Linked DNA regions of Oreochromis niloticus. The protein of the gene in region 3 interacts with the protein of the main gene of each other region in a pairwise test. Links are inferred from orthologs where the notes say so. Each region holds a gene or a part of one and is shown on either strand. Other genes may lie near its edges.

Region 1 (7,787 bases), on a different chromosome or scaffold from region 3:
CAGCGAGATGGGCAGGAAGTCAGCGTACGCTGACAGGGGGTGGCCTCCTGTAGAGATTGACAGATCACGTGACTTTCGCGCATTGCATTGTGGGTACGAGTGTCAACAAAATCAAAACACTGCATCAAGCGCTAGTATTTCCAGCACCGGTAATCATTAATTCTGCGGTTTTAATCCCTACTTGCATTTTATTTGCCCCCAAAACAGTTATGTACAAAACGACGGAGAACACGGCAGGTTCGTACGAAGACAGACTTGACGAAAAGGCAAAAAAAAGGACGACGAAAAAATCAAAGGAGTGAAAGGGTCAGACCCATACGAGCGTACAGGGTGGAGTAAGGACGTCAGCGTGCTGCCCAACTTTCATCACGCACATATTTATTATTATATGGTTCTAAGTGTGAGTGCATACACTCACAAGATGTTTATTACTATTACTATGGAAGACATCCTGCATCGTCCCGGTCCCCAAAAGGAACCGGCCCAATGAGCTAAATGACTTCCGACCGGTGGCACTGACGTCACATCTTATGAAGACTCTAGAGCGGCTCTTCCTCAAACTCCTCCGACGACAGGTACAACATGCCCAGGACCCACTACAGTTCGCATACAAGGCGGGTGTCGGAGTGGAGGATGCTGTCCTGTACCATCTACATAGAGCCCACTCACACCTGGACAAGGGAAAAGGCACGGTCAGGATCCTGTTTCTTGACTTTTCCAGTGCCTTTAATACCATCCGGCCCTGTCTGCTCCAGGAGAAACTAAACAGGATGCAGGTGGACCCCTGCCTGGTTGCTTGGATCTCCGACTACCTCACTGACAGACCACAGTACGTCAGGCTGAAGGACATCATGTCTGACACTGTGGTCAGCAGCACAGGAGCACCACAGGGAACTGTGCTGTCCCCTCTTCTCTTCACCCTGTACACCTCTGACTTCTGCTACAACTTTGAATTATGCCATATTCAGAAATTTGTAGACGACACAGACATTATGGGGTGTATCTGGGATAATCAGGAAGAGGAGTACAGAAGTCTGGTGAGGAACTTCGTCACATGGAGTCACACTAACCACCTGCAACTCAACACCTCAAAGACCAAGGAACTGGTTGTGGACTTCGGGAGGTCCAGAGCAGGTCCACTGGCGGTTCAGATAGAGGGGGAGGAGGTGGAGGTGGTCAACAAGTACAAGTACCTCGGGCTGTGGGTGGACAACAAACTGGACTGGTCATGGAACACAGAGCACCTGTATAAAAAAGCCCAAAGCCGACTGTATTTCCTCAGGAGGCTGAGGTCTTTTAACATCTGCAGGAAGCTCCTGAGGATGTTTTACCAGTCGGTGGTTGCTGGAGTACTTTTCTATGCTGTGGTGTGCTGGGGGAGCAGCACAGCAAAGAAGGACTCATCCAGGCTGGAAAAACTGATCAGGAAGGCTGGCTCTGTGGTCGGCATGAAGCTGGACACTCTGGTGTCAGTGGCAGAGAAGAGGACATTAAAGAAATTGCTGAACATTATGGACAATGCTGGGCATCCTCTGCACACGGCCATAAACAACCAGAGGAGTCTGCTCAGTGACAGGTTGCTTCTCCCAAAGACAAGAACCAACAGACTTAAAAACTCCTTTGTCCCACACGCCATCAAACTGTTTAACTCCTCTCTGGAGGGGAGAGGGAGGGGAAACAGGAGGACAAAGGAAGGGGGGGACAACTAAGCTGTAGTGCCTTTTCACTGTGCAATAGTTTTTGTTAATAACCAACGGTGCAATAGACTTCAATACTTGAAATGTGCAATTCCCTTGTATTCTTATTCCTATTTATTCTATTTATCCCTTTTGTATACTCTTTATTTATACATGTCTCTTTATTTATATATGTGTATGCTATTCTGCTCACATTCTCTAAGTTCTGTCGGTGCTGGGCTATTTGGAAACTGAATTTCCCAGAGGAACCCACCCGAGGGATTAATACATTTTTATCTTATCTTATTAACTTCAGATCCCTGCAACAAGCCCAGGTCCAGTTTACTTTGGTGATTTGGACTATTCCATTTCACAGCTGTTGTTAAATTCTTTTCCTTTATCTCCTGTACAGGCAAACGCATCTATTTGTGGTTTCAGGTTGTGGTATTACACAACATTTTCCGATCTAATAGAAATAAAATGAGTGTTTCGTAATTCATTCAATTTATTGTCTTTATTTATAACTGGCATTATTGTTTGATTCTATTATAGAATCTTACAAGAAAGAGGCAAAATTGTAAAAATCCATCATTCTTTATTAGCTGCTTCGGTGAAAAACAAATCAAAAATGCAAAAAAACAAAACAAAAAAACAACACTGCAAAACAACATACTGGAAAACAGTTATTCATCACTTGATTGCTTCAAAAAGATCTTTTGTTAAAAGGGTTGGCGTAATAAGCAAATGCTTCAGCCAATACCTTTTGATTAGCCTTGTCTCATGCTTTCTTGCTTTGTGGTAATCTTTATTCTATATTCACTGAGATATTTAAATGCTAATCAATAAAAACAAAAAACAAACAAAAAACAAAACAATACAACCCCCTTGGGCACATATATGCGGGACGTTTCGTGGCTGTTTTGATATCGCTCTCTCTCTTAACGGATCAAATCTGGCTGTGGTAGCAGCTTTAACCTCGGTATGACCCAGGGTGATAGAGGTGCCTGGTCTGGATGCATTCCAGCATTTTGTAGGCTGGTTTTCCTACAAAACACAACAAACATTAGCCCGCAAAGCCACAGTGAACAAAGCAGCATAACGCAACGAATTCAATTCAAATCAATATAAGACTTATTTGTAACCTACATCAACAATTATGTTATGATAAATTACGTAATAACTACAACAGAAGACGTACCTTTGTGGAAATGCTTGGAGCAGACTAACATGTGAGCTGGAGTGTTCTGGGACGTTATATTTGGTCTTTGAATGGCTGCAATCCAGGCCATCCGTCGGCTCTTTGTTACTTCAGAAACACGGCTTTAACAATTTCTCTTCCACGACGTAATACGATAACAACCGATCTCTTTACCCGTTGGCTTCCCGTGGCTGTCATGCGACCGGCTATTGCAGTTAATAATACAACAGCTTCTTGCCATTCTTTGTGTTTCTTTTTATCACCGTGTGACTGTTTTCTTGTGAAACCCTGTGCGCGCTAGTACCACTTGCCACTCGTATCCACAATCCTTTGCAGTTTTACCCCAGAATGACATCACATTTTCAATCTCTATTGAACTTGCAGACATCAGAGAGATGCTCAGATAGACAAATACAAAGGGGGGAAACACACTCACCGTGGATGCTGAGGTTGGTTAGGTGTGGCAGTGACGTCAGCCACGTCTGCAGGTGACAGGTGGGTCCAGGTACGGAGTACAGGTGGAACACTGACAGGGTACGGAGGCGGGACAAAGGCTGCAGTGTTTCCTGTGTCACCACGGCGTCATAATTCAGCAGCTGCAAGTCCAGCAGCTGTAGTGCAACATCACCTGCAGGACGATACGTGACATGTGATCTCACCTCTGTTCCATCTCAGAGGTGAGGCAGGTTCAGCAGGAAGGCAGAACACACCAGTGCCTACCCTTCCCTTCCTTCAAGATCAATAATCTAACTATTAAATATCTCAGCAAGTGACTGATCCAGGTGTGCCTACCTGTGTGGTGGGCGGGGCTGAAGAAGTCATGTGGGAGCGTCCTGTAGGTGATCATGGTCCAGGACAGGTGTGTGAGCTCGGTCAGGTGAGCGAGGACGCCGCTGAGGGACGGGACCCTTAGGCTGCCGTCATGGTGCAGCAGTAGTGAGGTCAGACGCGTCAGCTGACCAATGGCGGCCAACAGGTGAGAGGCAGAACAGGTGAGCTGCACATTACAGAGGCCGAGCTGTGTCAGCTGCTGACTCAGAGGAAACAGGAAGTCCAGGTTCCTCAGCGGTGTAGAACCGGATGTGACGGACAGTCGCTGAAGCTGGCGGAATAGTCTGAGATCATCCATGCCCCCTTCTCTCCAGTCGTCCAGTCGCAGGCCGCAGAGCGCCGGCAGCCAGGTGTACAGCTGCTTCAGGTGCTTCCTCTTACCTGAGCGCAGCAGCACGTTGCCCACGTGCCTCTGAGCCAGGCTACGCCAGAACGAGGGGTTGTAGCGCGAGAGGTTCTGCAGCACCACGCTGAAGCCCCTCCACAGGGGGCGGGACTTATCCAGCAGGTGTCTGAAGTATGAGCAGGTGCAGCGCATGCTCAGTTTGTCCCTCCAGGACAGGAAGCTGAACACCTTCAGCCACAACTCGGCCGGAAGCTGCAGCGCCATCTCTCACCTCCGATTATCGATCAGGGAGCTACCTGAGCAGCGGCCCTGACGTCATCACAGCCACAACACCGCGTTTCTGATTAGCTGATATCGATCCTTGATCGTGTCTGTGGTCAACTCCGACAGTTCTTCTCACTCTAACTGCGCCTGCGTGATATTATCGATTATCGCCAGCTTTTAAAAGATCTCCACAGAAAAAGAGAGTCAGTAAAAGTACGGCAGTCCCAGTCTTAGCGCAGGCGCAGTGACACTTACTTACAACATCCGGTTCCAGTGCTGACGTCACTGCCAGTAAGTTTCAGACGCTATTGCGCATGTCAGAGAATTGAAAGGGCGGCATCGTCAGTCACGTGTAAGAGCAGAAAACCAGTTTAAGGTCAGAACAGAGCTTCTCGCGCACAGGTGAGTTCACCTGAGAGCCGAGACCGGAAACCAGACACCCGCGGTCAAAGAAGACGACTGGAAGAAAAACCACCGAAGAAGAAGCTGAGCGGGCGGAGCTGGTCGGAGCTGATCGATCAGATGGAAGGTGGGTGATTGATAATCGATCCACACGTGACTAACCAGCTGATCGATGGCACGCGCAGCAAAAATTATCAGCTGACTGGCGTAAGCCTTTCCGTTATTAATCAGCGGTCATGCGGGCGCGCGCTCAGGGTCAGAGCTCAGAGACTAGAACGACAACAAAGAGTGACGTCATATGTATACACCTGAGGTCCATGTAGGATTTCACCTTTGGCTGGAGTCACGTGGACCATGAAGGTGGGCAGCTTGGTATCGATTATTGATCAGCAGGAAACATTATAGCTTCATACCGGCATAGCATGGTGAAATACCCCCTGACCCGGCTAAAGCCAGGTAAACCCTGAGTTACCTGGATAAGGTGACCTCTGCTGCAGAGCTCGAGTGGACGAGGTCAGGATCAGTAAAGCCAGACAAGGCAAGAAATCCTGGATATGTTGAACCTGCTTCATGGTGGGTTAGGGTTGGTTACGGTTGACCTTTGACGGCTGAATGATGATGTATTTGTTTGTTTTGATTTTGCTTTACTTCATTTTATGTCTATTTTTGACATTTGTATGTTTTTTAAATGATTTTTTTGACAAAAAGTTTAGAAATGTTGTTGTCACGTTCTGAGCTGTGACATCACAGGAAGTGACAGAGGCTGCTTTGAGGCGGCGAGCTGCACGTTGAGGACCGTGGTTTACACAAGTTTTATTGATTGTCTTGTCGTGTCGCCTGCACACTCTGTCACTAAAACACTCAACAACAAAATCACGTGACTCTGTTCTCAGGTGACATCTCAGTCACGTCAGCAAACAGGAAGTCTGCTGCGATCACAGGAAGTGCGAGAAAGATTAAAGACAACGCTGCCGACTGGCACAACATGATGCTGCGGTGGGACAGGTTGAATGAGGACGGCTTCATGGCGGCAGCAAGCATCGTCAACATGAGGCGGTCAGTTTACTGATGATCTCAGGAATGCCAGGTGTTGATGGATCATGTGATTGATCAATCTGAAATCTGTTTTCAGTGCTCAGAGCGATCAGCTGCTGCTCAACAATTCTTCATCGCCTCCACCCTCTTCCTCACCACAGCACGTGGGCGGAGCTTCTGAGCTGCAGGACAAATGTCTCAAACTGCAGGAAATCGTAGACAAAATGGTGAAGCTTCAAAAAACATTATTTACACTTAGGTTCAGAGACAAAAACAAAACACTGGTTCAGAATCCAATCAATAATCAATAATCACACACACACACACACACACACACAGCAGCCCCATCAGTGATCAATAATTTGAGTGCAGAGAGTAAAAGCTCACACAGACCTTTCAAAAGAAAATGAGAAAACAGCTTTTATTGACCACTGAACAAAAGCTGATCAGTATTGATCTTGACTGAGCATGTGACACAGATTAAGGCTCCTCCTCCTTGGGCTGATGTGCACAACTGCTTTATGAAGTTAAACTGAATCTCAGTTTGTTGATTTTAAAGTGATGCCATCATCAGGTTCACTATTTCCCAGCTTTCTCTGAGTGAGCTGGATCAGTTAAACCTGAACTCCCAGACAGAGCTAATCAAGCAAGATAATAATCAATAACAGGAATCAGGAAGGAGGTTATCAGTGTTCTGCTGGAGCCTCTGAGCATGCAAACATTTTACACGTGTCATGTGACCGATGAAGGCGCTGAAATAGATCCGTGCTATGCTCTGATAGGCTGATCAGATTTGTTTCTGTTCATGAGGACGCAGCGTTTTCAGTGGGAGAAACGTTTCGTCACTCTTCCAAGTGACAGAATCAACTTTTTGGGATTACCTGGATCATCGAGCATGCGTCAAGCATGCGTCAAGACCTCTTGTGTGACATCATTTCTTGTTTCCCGTCAGGCTGCTGTGGTGACGAAGATGGATCGTCTGATGACATCACAGCGTGGAGTAGAGGATCTGGAGGCGTTTCAGTTTGGAGCCGAAGGAAGAAAAACTCCTCTGTTTCACAGCTGGAGCACCAGAGAGTTCGGTGAGCAGCGTGGCTGATGGAAACCGTGTAGCAGCTTGGACTCTGGTCAGATGAAGCTTAATCTTAATTTTACATCTCACTTTAAATCCAATGATTCAGCCACAGTTTACTGATGGAGCTGTGAGATTAGTTGCCCATAGCAACAGCCTCCAGGCAGATCCGCCCTCTACTCAGATTTTATTCAATTGTTTCTGGTGCGGTTTCTGCCCGTTCCATCAGTAGCAATAACAAATTCCATTAATTCTGCCATTATAGGATAAAAATGCTTGAGGACTTAAATTGTGTCAACAGTTATAATCTGATCTCATATCAACTTCACGATCAACGATGGCTGCCCGACAGTCACTGTTTGAGTAAAACACCAAAGTTTCCGAGCCGACGACTTTGATGATAAAAGACAAACGTGGCTCAGCTTTCACTCAGCTGCCCACATGCTGAGCAGAGAGGGTTGAAGTCAGGGATGCAGAAGCTGTAAACGATCCAAATAGAGTAACACGGGATGAGCTGGAACCGGATCCGGTCTGAATCTGTGATCTGAATCCATTTTAGATCCGTCCTGCCGTGGAAGAGGACTCTGTTCCGGGGCCTGCGATTCTTTGAAGCAGATCCAAACATGTCGAGGCTCAGACTCGGAACCTTTAAAATGTGGTTAGATGACATTCAAGGACTGAAATGTAATCCGATTACAATCAGACTGTCTGCAGCAGCTTTGAAACGTCACAGTCTCAGTTTAAGAGTCTAAAAGTCATCTGAGCTCATCTTCACTCAGATATTCTCCAGCGGTGACTATGAGAAATGATTGATCGGTGATCAGAGTGTAACACAGTAAACGTTTGCAATGCAGGAAACTGACAGCATCACTGTCCACAGAGATGAAGGAGATGAAGACTACAGATGATGATAGATCTGTGATGTCATCACTGTCTCTGTCCTGATACATTGATTACCGATTG
Region 2 (6,959 bases), on a different chromosome or scaffold from region 3:
GTCTTTTTCCTTGAAAGTGTCAAACTTTCCGACTCGTTCTGAATGATCTAAATAAACATTTAGACATCTGAGCAGGTCACCAGATTTTTTGCACAAATCCTAAAAGTGTAAAACACAGAACTCAGTTATTCAAGCAGAACATAACTGTTATTTATAGAGTAAGAAAAATACACCAGCAAGTCTATGAACATATTGAGGATTAGAAGTTAATTTCAAGAAGAAAAAAAAGTCGTCTTTCTTCAGTCCTTTTTCTTTAAAGAAAAAAAAAATCCATTGTCATGTTGGAGGGACTGTATCTTCCCATGCACAAATGAGATTTCTAAGGTCCCTTAGAAAAAGGCTTATTGAAGCCCACCAGGCTGGAAAAGGTTACAGAACTATTGCTGCACTTTCTAGTCCAACAATAGAAAGTCAGACAGATGGCGTAAATGGAGAAAAATTGAAGATCATTGTTACACTGCCCAGGAGTGCTTGATCAAAAAAAAAAAAAAAAAGATCTCTGCAGCAGCAAGATGGATCATAGCCTGGCAGGTAACAAAGAAGCCAAAAAAGGTTGTTTCTAAAGTGTTCACAAAATTTCAAGCAAAAGTCAAAATTGAATGATTCTACTTCCTTCCAATTCTCAGTCTAAATAATAGGTTAGCGCTCATGCTGGACACTAAATTGCCAATTATTATGGGAACATCCAAATGAAGTAGAAACAAAAGCATGTATTTTATTTGTTTAAACAACTTGTGTATCCTGTTGTGCGTCTTATATCGTAATGTATCTCACTGGATGGAAGACCTGGCTTAGCCACCTCTAATAAACAGTTCCTCGCTGTTGTTATGTTATTCTCCTCTTACATATCTGAGATTTCCCGACTGCACTCAGATGACAGCTCTCCAGGTCACTGGAAATCTTGAGGCTAACCTGGGGTGAGGAGGACTGATCCCTCCCTCCTCCCCCAGAGCTCAGCTGTCCCACAATGTGCTGTTGCTTGTCACTGAGGAGAAGTGGAACAGTGTTGCCAGTGACAGGGCAACACCCCCCCTGCTGCACACAAGGGGACCCTTAAACACTCTGGACAAGAAATACATTATTATATTATATTATTAATATTTATTTAGTAATTTAATCAATAGCTCTGATACTTAGAATAAATCCAAATGTCACAATAGGTATTAATTTTTTATATTTTTTTGCATTATTTCTTACATGTGGCCAATCAATTATAATTAAATTAGAGCCAGCCTATTTTTCACTGGTTTGGCCTATTTTAAGATGGAAAATAAAGTACAGTATTAACAAACCACAGGTAAACAAACTGTTCTGTATCTTAAGTGTTCACTTCAAATACTGAGGGACACACACACACACACACACTTCTCTAGTTCTGCTGACAATGGGTTAAGATGACAGAGGGTTATGAGTGATTCTGACACACTGCAAACCCCCTCCTTGCTGTACCCCTGAGTCCAACACAGGCTTCTTTGTACTCACTCCACCATCAGTGACGATCCATCACAGACTAACCTGACAGCCGACCCAGCCCCGTGCCAAGCTAAGACTGTGCACTCTGCCTCAAACCCAAGCCCAAACCCCAGGAGGAGACCACAAGCCACCAGACGGGCCTGCCAAACCTCTGCCTGGCACCTAATCCCAGGACTGAAACTTCCCTGTAGATAATTCACATTGTAAGATTTTTTTGTTTTGATTGTGTCTAACTGAAACTTTGTGTTTGTTACCTTCCAAATGATATAAAACACAGGTAAAGAATAAACGGTCAGAAATAAGAGGCTCTGTTCCATTGTGTATCATTAACCCTTTGAACCAGCACAACCCTGGAACGCTTAAATGGAAATCAGCTATCATTGGTTGCACCTGTGCTTTCTCTTACACGAAATGTCAAAATATCTGCCACGAACCATGCCTATAAATATGTTCTTTTAAACAAGCTGCTGTTATTTTTAGGCAACGCTGATCCACAATAAAAATAAATAAATAGAGGCTTTAAGGGGCAGTCATAATGAGGAAATGAGTTATAATGAGTTCTTTCATCCGAAATAAGGTTTGTCTGTGTGAGCTTGTCGCTGCTTGTGGAAAAAAGTCAGAAACTCAACAATAAAAAATTAATCTGAGCAATAAAAATATGTATTTTTTTGATGTAGATTTTCATCTGGGTGAAAAGGCCTTGTTGACACCTTGTTGATGTTAGAGGAGAATAGACAGACTGGTTTGAGCTGATAGGAACACAACAGAAACTTACTTGTTGCAACCAAGCTATGCAGGAGAGCATCTCATCAAACCTTATAATATGCAAGGGCTCACAAAATTGGACAATAGAAAACTGGAAAATTGTTGCCTAGTCTCAGTTTCAACAACAAGATCTGGATGGTAGAGGTCTAGAGAGAGAACTAAATTACAATATAGTGTTAGCTTGCAAGCTAACATGTAAGAAGGTTTTACACTGGTGTAGTTTAAATATTAAAAGCAGCTTTAAAAAAGGATAGGCTCCTTGGTATGTCGAACTTTCAAAATTTTCACATAAGACAGGAATTAATAATGTGTTCTTTAATTTTATAACACAGGGACTCCAGCAACACTTAAAAGTAAAGAGGAACAACTTTATTAAATGACCAACGCGTTTCGGCTTGTGGCCTTCATCAGGGTCATACTCTTAAGTGTTGCTCGAGTCCCTGCGTTGTGAGTTTCTCATCCTCTCCACGCACCTTGGAAGTAGGTGAAGTGACAGAATTTTTGCTGTTCTTTAATTTTATAAGCAGGAAAAGTATAAAACCTAGCTTTTCACATCTTATCGTGACACCATAAAGACCTTAGTTCTTCTTCATTTTCTCTATTTTAAATATTGAACTCATGGTATCCACTGATATAGTATTGTTTACTTTTGTTTCAAAAAACTTGTATTTACTCTTTCATTGGTTGGAGAATAACTTAAAGCCTCAATGGCATTGGTATTCACCAGACCTTTCAACCCTCTAAGTTTAATGAACTGTGGTTACTAGGAAACTGCTAGCAATTTGTCTCTTCCAAAACATCTCCTGAGAGGTATTATATTACTGTGATAAACGTATTGTAAAGAAATAGAGCACAGACTCATGTAACACTCCTCATGATATGCCTGTCACTCCAGGCCACTTCTCTGCTGACAGAAGTGTGTGTTTTGGCTGTGCTGCAATGTTAGCGGAAGCTAGTCAGAATTAGCTGATGAGCTACGAGGTGAGACATGTCCTGGAAGGATTAACACCCAGTGGCTAAGCTAATGCTATGACTTGCTGGAAGAGGTCAGGACAACCAAGGCCATTCCCTCTGTGTGGCTGACTCATTACTGTCCCTTAAATTCTGGGAGTAATGTGAGCCAGCGTCAGCCTAGCAGCTCACTCTGCTCATGGTTCCTGCACAGACCTGCCTGGTTCTGAGGCTAGTATAGCTCAGAAGGTCACTTGCATCACATAGTGCAATCGTCTCAGGATGAAAGTCAGTGGATATGAATGCAGTTACATAAACCACAGGAACAATGTCACCTAAGCTTTTTTTGGTATTGACCAAGTTGATCGCATTATGAGTCTGACAGTGCTTCACAGAGGTCCAGAGTAAACAACAGTCTCTTGCCTCATTGACTTCCCATCAAAAACCTGAAGTCAAACAACGTATTGTCACTGTGTGCCACTGGCTCCCAGCAGAAGTGACAGCTGTTTCCAGAATGTCCCTTCTGCCTCCCCACTTAATGATGGAACTCTTCATGTTCGGAAGGGGACGCAAGTCTGGGATTAACTTACTAAGATGGACACCTTTGATCTGAGGCTGTCTCTCCCATTTCAACCTGATCATGTCCTGGCCTCTTAAGAAATACATGAGCGCACAAACCCACAGAAAAACACGCACGCGTACAATTGGGCCTTAAAGCCCTAGAGAGCAGGGCCAAACAGAGATGTGATGTGTAGATGTGCAGCAACAGCTAAACGTCGTGTCAGGTTTCTGGGGGCTCGTGCTAAATTTAACCCTGTGATCCAGCAGAAGGCAGAGGGGTTTAAATGCCAGCCTACAGTTGCTCCACACCAGTTGCTCTCCACACGTCTTCCACTCATCACAAACTCAGGCCGGGAAGAAGATAGCCGCACACACGTACACTCCAACGCAAACTCCAGACACAGGACAGAAGAGCGCATACTGAAGACTAGTTCCTAGGGAAGCTGGGATCTTTGTTCCCTTGTATCCAGACCACAACTGTCCAGTATGGAGCTTTTTGAGACCAACCCTTATTTCTTCCCTGACCAGCGCTTCTATGAAGGAGGGGACAGCTACTTCCCCTCTCGCCTGCCCGGGGCGTATGACCAAGCTGGCTACCAGGACAGGAACTCCATGATGGGCTTGTGTGGGAACCTGTCTGGGGGTGTTGGAGTTGGAGTGACAGGTACCGAGGACAAAGCCTCTCCATCCAGCATGTCGCCTCACTCCGAGCCCCACTGCCCAGGTCAGTGTCTTCCCTGGGCCTGTAAGCTGTGTAAAAGGAAGACAGTGACCATGGACCGCCGGCGAGCAGCCACACTGAGGGAGAAGAGACGCCTAAAGAAGGTGAACGAGGCCTTCGATGCTTTGAAGAGGAGCACGCTGATGAACCCCAACCAGAGGCTGCCCAAGGTTGAGATCTTGCGGAGCGCCATCCAGTATATTGAAAGGCTCCAAGCCCTGGTGTCCTCCCTCAACCAGCAGGACACTGAGACAGGACAGCAGGGTTTGCTCTACCGGCCCAGCCCAACTCAGCCCAGAGTAAGTAGGACAGAGACAGGATGAGGGAAGGGAGAAATTCAAAAAAACAGAGAAAACAGCCAAGAGGGAAACAGAGTTGGGAACAGCACTAGTTGGAAAGTGGCAGAAGATATGGGAGAAAAATGAGCGGTACAGTAAAGAGAAAGATAAATACTACATTAAACAATGACTGGGGTAAAATGTCAAATCAAAAATGTGTAAATTTGATTATCTGGTCATGTTCCTTTTGATTTATTCATTCTGGATAAGGTTTGATGTTATGCATATGTATTCAGCCATATAATGAGCAAAAATGTTGTGTTTTAAAAGGTTTTTAAAAACATGATGCAGTGTAGCTCATTAGTGTTTTTAAAGACACTGACAAGAACTCCTGTGACAGGCGTCGTAGTAATGGAAAGTCTTTTTCATTGTGTACATTTGCCTCTGAGTGGGGTCACGGGATGCATTAACTATATGTGCATTTGTGGTAGTACACTGCACTTTAGTGTGTGTTGTATTTCTGTGTGGCGTGCTGTATCATAACAGAGTGACTGACAGCAACTTGTGTGTGTGCATCTCCATGGCAACAGGTGTCGTCGTCAAGCGAGCCCAGTTCAGGCAGCACCTGCTGCAGCAGCCCGGAGTGGAGCAGCACTCCAGAGCAGTGCACGCAGAGCTACAGCAGCGAGGGTAAGCACAGGTCACTTAGTCCCATTAAACTAGGTAGACCAGGCAGCACCTTTACAGATACTTAGTGTCTAACTGGGTCTTTTTGCAGATCTCCTGAGCGCTGCAGACTCTCCAGAGCAGGGGAACATGCGGGCCTTGACCTCCATTGTGGACAGCATCTCTGCAGCAGATGGACCTGTGGCCTTTCCTGTGGACATTCCCAAATAGACCCTCAGACCAGCCGGCCAGTAGGTGCACAGCGAGCCTCAAACAAAAAGCAAAGTGACCTTTAATCCTAAATTATGTCTATTTTGTGCTTCTGCTGATTAAATTATTTTGTCTTATGCCAAATTACAAAATGTTTCCATTTGACGAGTATTGCAGCTCTGTTGATCCACGGGCCAGCTAGCCAAACTGACTTTTCCTGTTCACATTGAGGCTTTGTTCCCTTTATTTCCTGTATTATGCAATGTTCCAGACCTGTTTGTCAAAGCTACAGGAGATTCAAAGACTTTGCTGCATGAACCCAACACATATTTACTACACGTGATCCCTGTTAGGCTTGCCTCCAGATTTATAGAGCCACAGAGGAATGACAAATCCAGTTTTCTTTCCTTACTTAATTTAAGATTTCCTCTTCAAATGCTTTCCCTAATCTTTCATTCATTTTTTTTGTGTGTGTGAGTTTTAATGCTTAAAAAACAAGAGTTTATTTGTGGGGCCAATATGTACCATGGCAGTTTTGACCAAGATCTGCTTAATTTAAACTGATTATGAATGCTAGTGATGTAAATACGTTCCCTTTTTCTACAGAGTGGATTTGCCATTTTTATTTTTTTGCTAACTTATTTTGGACTTTTATAACTAAGATTGTTGTGTATTTGTAGATGTTCTGAAAAGTGATATTTTCTGTTTAATTCTTACAATAAAGACCATTTTCAATACGCTGTCCAGTGTTGTTTTTAGCCTATAATACAATACGCTGGCACATATAACTTAACAAGGAACACAGGATACCAAATCTTTAAAAAACAGCTTTACTTATGTCTATATAGTGTCATAAATACATTACACTTCTTTTTAAATAGCCAAATAATAAAATCTTGATTTGTCAGCATTGTTTCACACCTGGAATAAAGACACAGTACTCATAGCTGCCACATAGCACGTTACACCTTTTAGACACCTTGGAAAAACTTTCAAAAAAAAAAGAAAAAGAAAAAGATTGTACACCCATCCAGCACTTCACTGGTTCATTTGCTGTGTTCTTATTGGATGAGGAGTTGGTGAGCCAAGAGTACTGACTGCTCAATCAGAGCAAGATTAGACAAGTCTGTCACGTGGAGCAGTTTCATGTGGATTTCATTGGCTGATGTTGAGCAGCAGTTTACAGTTTGATTTTGAGAGAATGTAAGGAATCAACAGAGAAGAGCTACAGTGGTCACACTACCATCCACAGAGAAAGTCATGGTCGCATGGCTGGGGCCGGCCTTTTCACACGAAATCTACTAGTCTCAAGCACAGAGACTCATTTAGTCACA
Region 3 (7,931 bases):
TGCTTTATAAATAAACATGTGACATCAGAGTGGAATATGGAGATTTTTTTGGTGTTAGTGTAAACACAGAAATTATGATCAGTCTGTTAAAGATTTCTTGTCCAAGAAGTTTTCACTTTTCCTTATTTTAAGTATGTACTCATCAGCCACTTTGTTAGTTACACCTTGGTCAGAGCCTCGTTTTTTAATCACAATAGCCTTAATTCTTCATGACACAGATTCAATAAGGTGTTGGAAACATTCCTCAGAAATTTTGGTCCATATTGATGTGACAGCATCACACAGCTGCTGCAGATTATTCGCTGCAAATCTTCCCTTCCACCACATCCCGAAGGTGCTTTATTCTATGTTTATGACAGTAGAGGCCATTTGAGTACAGTGAACTCATTGTCATGTTCAAGAAGTCAGTTTCATCAACAACGATACTCTGGCTGGCTGTGGGGATAAGACATTGCTTTGTTGGTAATAAGTGGCCCAAAACATGACAAGAATATTCTTGTCCTTACACCATTGCACCACCAGTCTGAACTGTCAGTACAAAGCAGGATGAATCCATTCTTTCATGTTGTTTATGCCAAATTCTGACCCTAAAATCTGAATGTTGCAGAAGTTGCAGAATGTTGTTCTTAATCTTCTATTGCCTAAGCTTGGTGGGCAAATTTACAGGCTGTTTCTTGTTCTATGCTGACAGGAATAGAGGTATTCATTGTGGTCTTCTCATGCTGTAGTCCATCTGCTATGTTGTGCTTTGAAAGATGCTCTTCTGCAAACCTTAGTTGTAGCAACTGATATTTGCGTTGCTGTCACTTTCCTATCAGCTGAAAGCAGCCAGCCATTCTCCTTTGACCTTTGACATCATCAAAGCATTTTCCCCCAGGGAACTGGGGGAACTCTTTCTCAGACCATTATCTGTAAACTTTGGAACTTTTTGTGTGGGAAAATCCCAGCAAATCAGCAGTTTCTGAAATACTCACACCACCTGACACCAACAACCATGCCACATTTGTCTTTCCTATTCTGATGCTTGTTTTGAATTTCAGCAGGTCGTCTTAACTGTGCTTACATGCCTAAATGCATTGAGCTGCTGCTACCTGATTGATTATACATTAGTTAAAAGCAGTTGAATAGGTGTAACAAAGTTAGTGCATAAAGAAGGCATTATTGTAGATTTGTGTCAGCCTCTTGCTTTTTTTTTTTTTTTTTACTTTTTCTCTAACTGTGGTTCTGTTTTGTTTTCAGGAGGGAGACAAAGTGTCAGAAGAACTACAGTGTGTGTCTTTGATGAAGATGGACAAGCAGGACGAATGAAGTGGAGGAAGACCAAAGAGACAACAGAAAATAAAGTCACTGCACAATTCATAGCTGTTAGAAGACTACTTATCCCACTGGAACACATCATGGTGCTATCTTCTCTCTATCAGCACTGATAAATTTAGGGGTTGTTTTCATTTTCAAAGTTTTTCTCTCTATATCTTTTGGTTCTAACTCTGCCTCATATTTAAGTTACACCTTTGCCAAGAAACTATAAGTACAGTCTATCAGAGGTGATGAAAGGCTTTCATGGGAACACTCATTCTGGTATGTTCCATATTCCTAACAATGCACACCTGCACTTCAACCAGCATTAACCGACATGTGGGCAGGTACACTGGGTATGCTTAAACTGTAATTCAACCCTTGCTTCCTCATTCAGCAATCATTTAACATCTGCTCAAATGAGCCTAAAACTTCCTCCTAAAGAATGAGGGTTTTTTCCCTTTAATAACGTACCAGTTATGACTTTCTACTTAACTGTGGACTGCAGGTCTACCTCTAAAAAAAACAAAGATAAATGGCTCAGTGGCCAAGATCAATTTTACACAATTATACAAAAAGGCATCTGAGAAATAAAAAGAAAGCCACCTAACCTTCGATGCAAAAGTAACCCCATGCGTGTAAACAAGAAAAATAAAGGGGTAAAACAAGCTATTCCCCGGTTCAATTCCCTCAGAGTTTGGAGCTGAGCTTTATTTTTTTACGCTGCACTTGTTTTCTGCAGCCATGCAACATTACGAACACACCCCATCAGCACAACAGAGAACACCCTCTTTGTACTTTCAAAGTTTCACACTTCACCCTAAATGCACAGCAAATACAACTAAATTCCACACCACAACACCTGCGACTGCATTCACACCTAAAGTGTCCTGACAGGAAGTGAACCGTTATTGCTGGGTATATATATTAGGTCATAGTAGTCACACAAATAGTGATATTTATTGTGAGATGTATCCCTCTGGAATCTTGTGTGCTAATTTAAGGCAATAAATATAAAACTAAATGAATAAACGTTATTCTCAAAAATGAGACCTCAGCGTAAGAAACAGGCTGAAGAGGTTTGTTTTGTGAATGATGACCCCTGGTGATCAGTTACTGTCACACAAAAAATGCAAGAAAGAAAAAAAAAAAAAAAAAACCCACCCACACACGCGCATGGCTGCATCCATCATGGCTGCCAACTACATAGAAATCAATGAGAACGAAAGTGTTTTATAACACAGTAATTTCATTTATTGCATTTTAAATCAACCTTTCATCCATGGTGGCCTTACAAAAGTAAACATATTTCGTCACACTCCATTTTCACTCTTATAAGCTGGCAGGAATGACTGCAGTTCAGTCTTTAAAGCGGTGAGGTTGTGCTTCCGTGCACGTTTGTCCTGAACCCCTCAAACACCTCCATGTTGTCGCATAAGCTACTGGGTTTCTTCACCACTCGTCCGCGGCCCTGTTAGAGTCCTCGTCGGCTACAGCACAGTCCAGGCGCTGCACACCGGGAAGCGCCAGGTCCCGTTCGTTAAGCTTTTCCAGAAACGACGAAAGGAGTCGTTTATTCAAATGGTCCGTCAGCGTCCTTTCCTCTTCGACCCGCTCCTTGGCCACGTTTCTATCCGGCTCCACTTCCTCGATTTCGGTATCCGCGCCAGGCTGCTGCGGAGGGCCGGACCGGTGGTTCAAGGACAAGCCGTTCGACTGCTCGCCTTCCACGGGCTCCTGCTCCGTCCAGCTCCCGCCGTCGGCCCCCGATTCGGTCTCCATCCGCGATATTAAAGTGGTCTGCAGGGCGGCATTCTCCAGCTCTTTCAGGCGCTTACTGTGGAGGCCGCAGGCTGGAGGTTCATTGCCAGACGAGTTGTTCTTGTTATGATGGGCCTCGCCGGTCTGCTCCATCATGCTCTGCGTCTCTTTCTTCTTCTGGGGGTTTAGCGGCCAGCTGGCGTCTTTGAATCTCACTACTGCCCTCTTCTGGAAGAGGCTCGCTCTAATCTCAGATTGGTTCCCTGCACTGTCCTGAATGCCCTTGCTGATACATGTTTTCTATCTTTTTTGGTATTTCACTAAAGACTAAAGTGATGTTTGATTAGATTTTCAGCATTTTAAACTTTCGTCAGAAGAATAAAAATATCACACATCCACAGATAATGATAATGCGTCCTGCAGAGAAAACAAACAATCCGTCAAATCAAAAATGTTGGTTCATAGAGAGATTTCCTCTACATCAGGGGTGTCAAAGATAGGGCTCGGCGGTCAGAATCGGCCCAGGAAAGTCTGCCTGACCAGAATGCTTTGGAAAATGTGAAGGAGTGCATAGATTTCGGACTGTATTTTCTCAAGTTTTACAGCTTTTTCTATTGATAAACACCTCGCTCATACCCTACACTTATGTCATAGATAAATGACAGAAAAGTTCCTGCTTTTCCAGCATCTACTATATGTACTATAGAAATCTTCTGCTATCAAATAAAAGAACTTTTCAAGGGTCGTGTATTTACTATTTTACACCTTTTATCATGGACAAAACATAGGAAATGCTTTTCTTATATAAAGATAAGTCAGGGTTTAGATGTTTACCTAAATGTCTTTACAGTGACGGAAAGGGGAGTTTCACTGGTTTCACTTGGTTCACTTATGATCAAAGTGAGTCGTACATGTCCCACAATGTAAAATCAGTTTGACATCCCTGCTTTACACACTTCACACAAATGCAGGAAAAATGTACTCTTCCACATTTAATAAGACTTTTTATTCAAATGGTTATTCTGAAGCATTTTATTTGACTTTTTCCATCTTGTGCTGCTTTATGATCAACTAAAGACACAAATACTGTGCTTTCCACTTTATATTTGAAAGTTTAGTTTAGGTTTCTACAGATATAATGTAAAAATCCAATGACTACAGTTATACCCTAAACTACGGGGGGTGCTTCCCAGTCCAATCTGTCGTTTTTACTAACTACAATGTTGTTTTCTTTGCCAAATGATTAACACTTCTCTCCAGTGCCTGTTTCCATTTACCTTTTATTAAAAAAACTTTTAACTGGGTATTAATATTCCCTTTTAACCAAAGTATTTCTTTGATATATTTTTAATACACCCACCTTTTTATTTTTTTGATATACAAATGATTTGGTATTAACATGCAAATTACCTGCTTTGTTTTATGTTTTGGGATGCTGTGTAAAATGTTAATAAAAGTAGAATTCAATGATTTTGGAAATCTCATAAGCCCATATTTTATTCACAATTGAACATTGAAAGTTTCCATTTATTTCTTTATTTTTTACAGTTGTGCTACAACTTGAAAATGGCACACAACTCCACTGTATAGAGTGTAATTGTGGATTTGACATCAGTGAGGGAAACATAGATTTTATAAGTGTGATTTAAAAAAAAAAAAAATAGAAGTGTAGAAAACATCGTCATAAAAGGTGTAAACTAAAAACTTTTTTTAAAACTTATTTTAGTGTAAAACAAGTGTACGCTACTCCTACTTATATATACAGCACAATCCAGGCGATGCACACCGAGAAGTGTGTGTAAGCTATTTTATGGCAGATAACATTTTTGAGTGTCTTGAGCTTCCGTAGAAGAATTTGGTTTCCATAGAGACCGTCTCTCATAGCGGCCACCGATCACTTAGCTTGGAGCAACTAGACCAGGTAATGATGCCTGAAACAAGACGTGTTACGTTTAATAACAACTAATTTCGTCGTTGAAAATATATATATTGTCTTTTCACTGATTAACGTAAGGTTAGTTAAAAACCATAACAAGCGATAGCTTTCTACTCACTTAAAGCCTTCTACGAGCTAGCTAAGCTTTTTTGTCTGAAGCCATGCTCCTTAAACTACACCAAGATTAGGTTCACATATAACATACGGTGTCCTGTGCGGGAATACAAATCAGCGGGGAAATCGTCGGTGATTCTATCACAGCTGTGTTACAGTTTTTAAAATAGTGACTGAAGTCTGTATTTTTTAGCACAAAGTTTCATGTCGTGAATGATAATCACGTCAGCTCTAATGTAATAAACCCCAAACACTAAATTCTCACTGAAAACCTGCCAGTCTCGAAGATAAACCTACGTGCACAGTCGGTAGCTCGTCTGCTGTTAACACATGCTCTTTCTTCTTTCCTGCTAGAGGACAAAGTGGTCTAAGCTTTGGCGCACAGTGCAATCAGCTGAAAATGTCTTTCCGAGATTTAAGAAGTAAGTGATGTTTACTGTCTGCTCTTCGCTGTTTGTAATGACCACTTTTTTGGTTTGTTTATTTGTTTTAAGAAGATAACTGAGTGAGAAGTTAATTGGAGTTTTATGTTATGTGTCAGATTTCACAGAAATGATGAGGGCCTTAGGCTATCCTCGCTTGATCTCTATGGAGAACTTCAGGACTCCAAATTTCTCTCTTGTGGCAGAAATCCTGAAATGGCTTGTGAAGAGGTATGCTTGAGCCTAAAAAAAATCGAATTGTTTATCTAAATAATCCTGCCACTGTTAACGTCTGTCCTCCACATTTTTCTGTCTGTATTTGTACACGGCCATGTTAAAGCATCATGTTTCTAGTGGAGGATACTGTGATATATTTTGCTTTTTTTGCCTTTTGCCCCCTTTCCTTCTTTTCATCCTTATAGATATGAACCTCAGAGTGATGTTCCTACTGATGTGGACACAGAAGCTGACAGAATATTCTTCATCAAGGCTGTGGCTCAGTTCATGGTGACATATTCTTTAGTATTTTATAAACTGTAGAGTTTATTCTTGCCAAATGAATGTCCGTTATTACTGCATCCTCAACAGTGTCTCCTTGTGTTCCAGGCAACAAAGGCTCACATCAAGCTGAACACTAAGCGTCTCTACCAGGCTGACGGCTATGCAGTGAAAGAGATGCTGAAGATCACCTCAGTGCTGTACAGTGCTATGAAAACCAAGCAGATGGCTCTGGGAGACAAAGTTGAGCAGGACAACAGCAAGTTCAAGTTTGACCTTGGCTCTCGGGTGAGGTGCAAACTACGCTGTGTGTAATGTTACGCCTGTTTTACTAAATCCTCTGTCACATACTTTATTTACATTATGAGACTCTCATCCCTGTGGAATTTAAAAAAGAAAATGTGCACTAGGTGACATTTAATTTGGGGAAGTGTTTGAAACCAAGATAAATTAAAGCAAATACCATATATGCAGTGTTTCAGAATGAAACAGCCATTCTTATTTCCTCACAGGAGCCACTTCTGCTAACTGCAGCTGTAAAATGTCTCAGCGATGAGCAAAGTCTGCTAAATGTTCTGAGGATGCTGTGTATTATATTCAGGTCCCAACAACAAGTACAAAATTCTCAGTGTTAGCACATTGCGTAATTAATGTGGCTAACACTAATTAAATGGCTTTAATGTTATGAACAGGACAGAGTGTAGGTTGTGTTTTTACATTACCTTTTGTGCTTCAGTGCAGGATAAATTCAGCTTTTTGCATTTACTTGAATTTATGTTTCTGTTGTTATACAATGAAACAACTGTGAATTGGTGACACAGATATGGCTTTTTAAGACTCTGTTCACCAGCAGTCACTTCCAAACATTTTCCAAGCTGTTCATCTGCAAAGTATTGTGACAGAATCACCATGCACACAAATGTAAGACAATAGCTACTTAAGTTTTGGCTGTAACTGAATAATTAATGTTAGAAGCAACAGATTGTCTTAATTTTCCTTAAGATTGAGTCTTAGTACTAAATTGTATCCAGCTCTGACATACAGTGCTGTGCAAAAATCTTTTTTTGTACAATTCTAACAAGCTTAATTTTGTGTGACTACCTTTTATTCTTCAACACAGCCTGAACTCCGTTAGCCAAGTTTTCTTCTAATTTCTAAGTAATTTTCAGGAATAGTTCTCCAGGCTTCTTAAAGGACATTCAGTGTTTTTCTTTGAATATTCACTGTCTTTTGTTCATTTTTCTGTCCAGACGATCCCACACTGCTTCAATAATGTTGAGGTCCGGGCTCTGGGAAGGCCAATCCATGGCTAATAAGCGTAATTTGTAGTCCTGTAAACGTGCCTGTCTTTGTACACATTTCTCACATTTCTGTTCAGACAGCAAGCAGAGAGGGATTTTTGTCTACTGCAGATGTGCTCCTATGCGGTTCAAGATCGAATGACCTATGTATCTGTCAAATGCTGATTGGCTGACAAGTTGGCCAGAAAAGGGAAGGGAGGGAAGGGAGGAACAGGAGCAGAAGGGAATGTGAGAAATGCAAAAAAAAACAAAAAACCCTTCAAAGATAAAAAAAAAAATAGTACGAGAAGTACAGACAGCGGCTGTAGTGGACACATTTCATTGTTTTCAACGCTCAGTTTCACTTCAGATTTTTTTATGTTACAACTTCACTCTTCTCCACTGCTGGCTAATGGACCAACAACAGAACAAACAAGGATCGCCTACAGACTAGTTGCACCACATACTTTGTAGGCTGTCTCCATCGACAACAAAGCTCTCTGCAGGTAGATGGGCCATCCTGGGACTGCAAATATGCGCTCCCTGCTGAACCATAAATTCAAGAATAGTTCTCCAAGCTCTTTGAAGGACATGCAAAGCTCTACTTTGGATGCTGGATGTCTT

The links.
Region 1: the proteins of cluap1 (region 3) and cinp interact in binary tests that used the Homo sapiens proteins (3 or more experiments, as listed by UniProt). The two-hybrid records come from large-scale screens. The link is inferred for Oreochromis niloticus from reciprocal best matches to the Homo sapiens genes CLUAP1 and CINP.
Region 2: the proteins of cluap1 (region 3) and myog interact in binary tests that used the Homo sapiens proteins (3 or more experiments, as listed by UniProt). The two-hybrid records come from large-scale screens. The link is inferred for Oreochromis niloticus from reciprocal best matches to the Homo sapiens genes CLUAP1 and MYOG.

What each region holds. Positions count from the first base shown.
Region 1 is NC_031983.2:30,840,504-30,848,290, reverse strand, and holds the start of cinp (cyclin-dependent kinase 2-interacting protein), read left to right. Parts: upstream 1-4,700; 5' UTR 4,701-4,837; coding exon 4,838-4,844; intron 4,845-5,610; coding exon 5,611-5,773; intron 5,774-5,849; coding exon 5,850-5,979; intron 5,980-6,704; coding exon 6,705-6,834; intron 6,835-7,787. Other genes in the region: uncharacterized protein LOC102079865, read right to left, coding at 1-47, 3,311-3,502, 3,667-4,315. UniProt on the Homo sapiens protein: Component of the DNA replication complex, which interacts with two kinases, CDK2 and CDC7, thereby providing a functional and physical link between CDK2 and CDC7 during firing of the origins of replication.
Region 2 is NC_031970.2:25,640,209-25,647,167, reverse strand, and holds myog (myogenin), read left to right. Parts: upstream 1-4,118; 5' UTR 4,119-4,236; coding exon 4,237-4,770; intron 4,771-5,339; coding exon 5,340-5,439; intron 5,440-5,527; coding exon 5,528-5,646; 3' UTR 5,647-6,359; downstream 6,360-6,959. UniProt on the Homo sapiens protein: Acts as a transcriptional activator that promotes transcription of muscle-specific target genes and plays a role in muscle differentiation, cell cycle exit and muscle atrophy.
Region 3 is NC_031980.2:33,020,685-33,028,615, forward strand, and holds the start of cluap1 (clusterin-associated protein 1 homolog), read left to right. Parts: upstream 1-4,841; 5' UTR 4,842-4,978; intron 4,979-5,461; 5' UTR 5,462-5,507; coding exon 5,508-5,529; intron 5,530-5,648; coding exon 5,649-5,760; intron 5,761-5,951; coding exon 5,952-6,036; intron 6,037-6,135; coding exon 6,136-6,315; intron 6,316-7,931. Other genes in the region: slc5a5 (sodium/iodide cotransporter), read left to right, coding at 1,240-1,308. UniProt on the Homo sapiens protein: Required for cilia biogenesis. Appears to function within the multiple intraflagellar transport complex B (IFT-B). Key regulator of hedgehog signaling.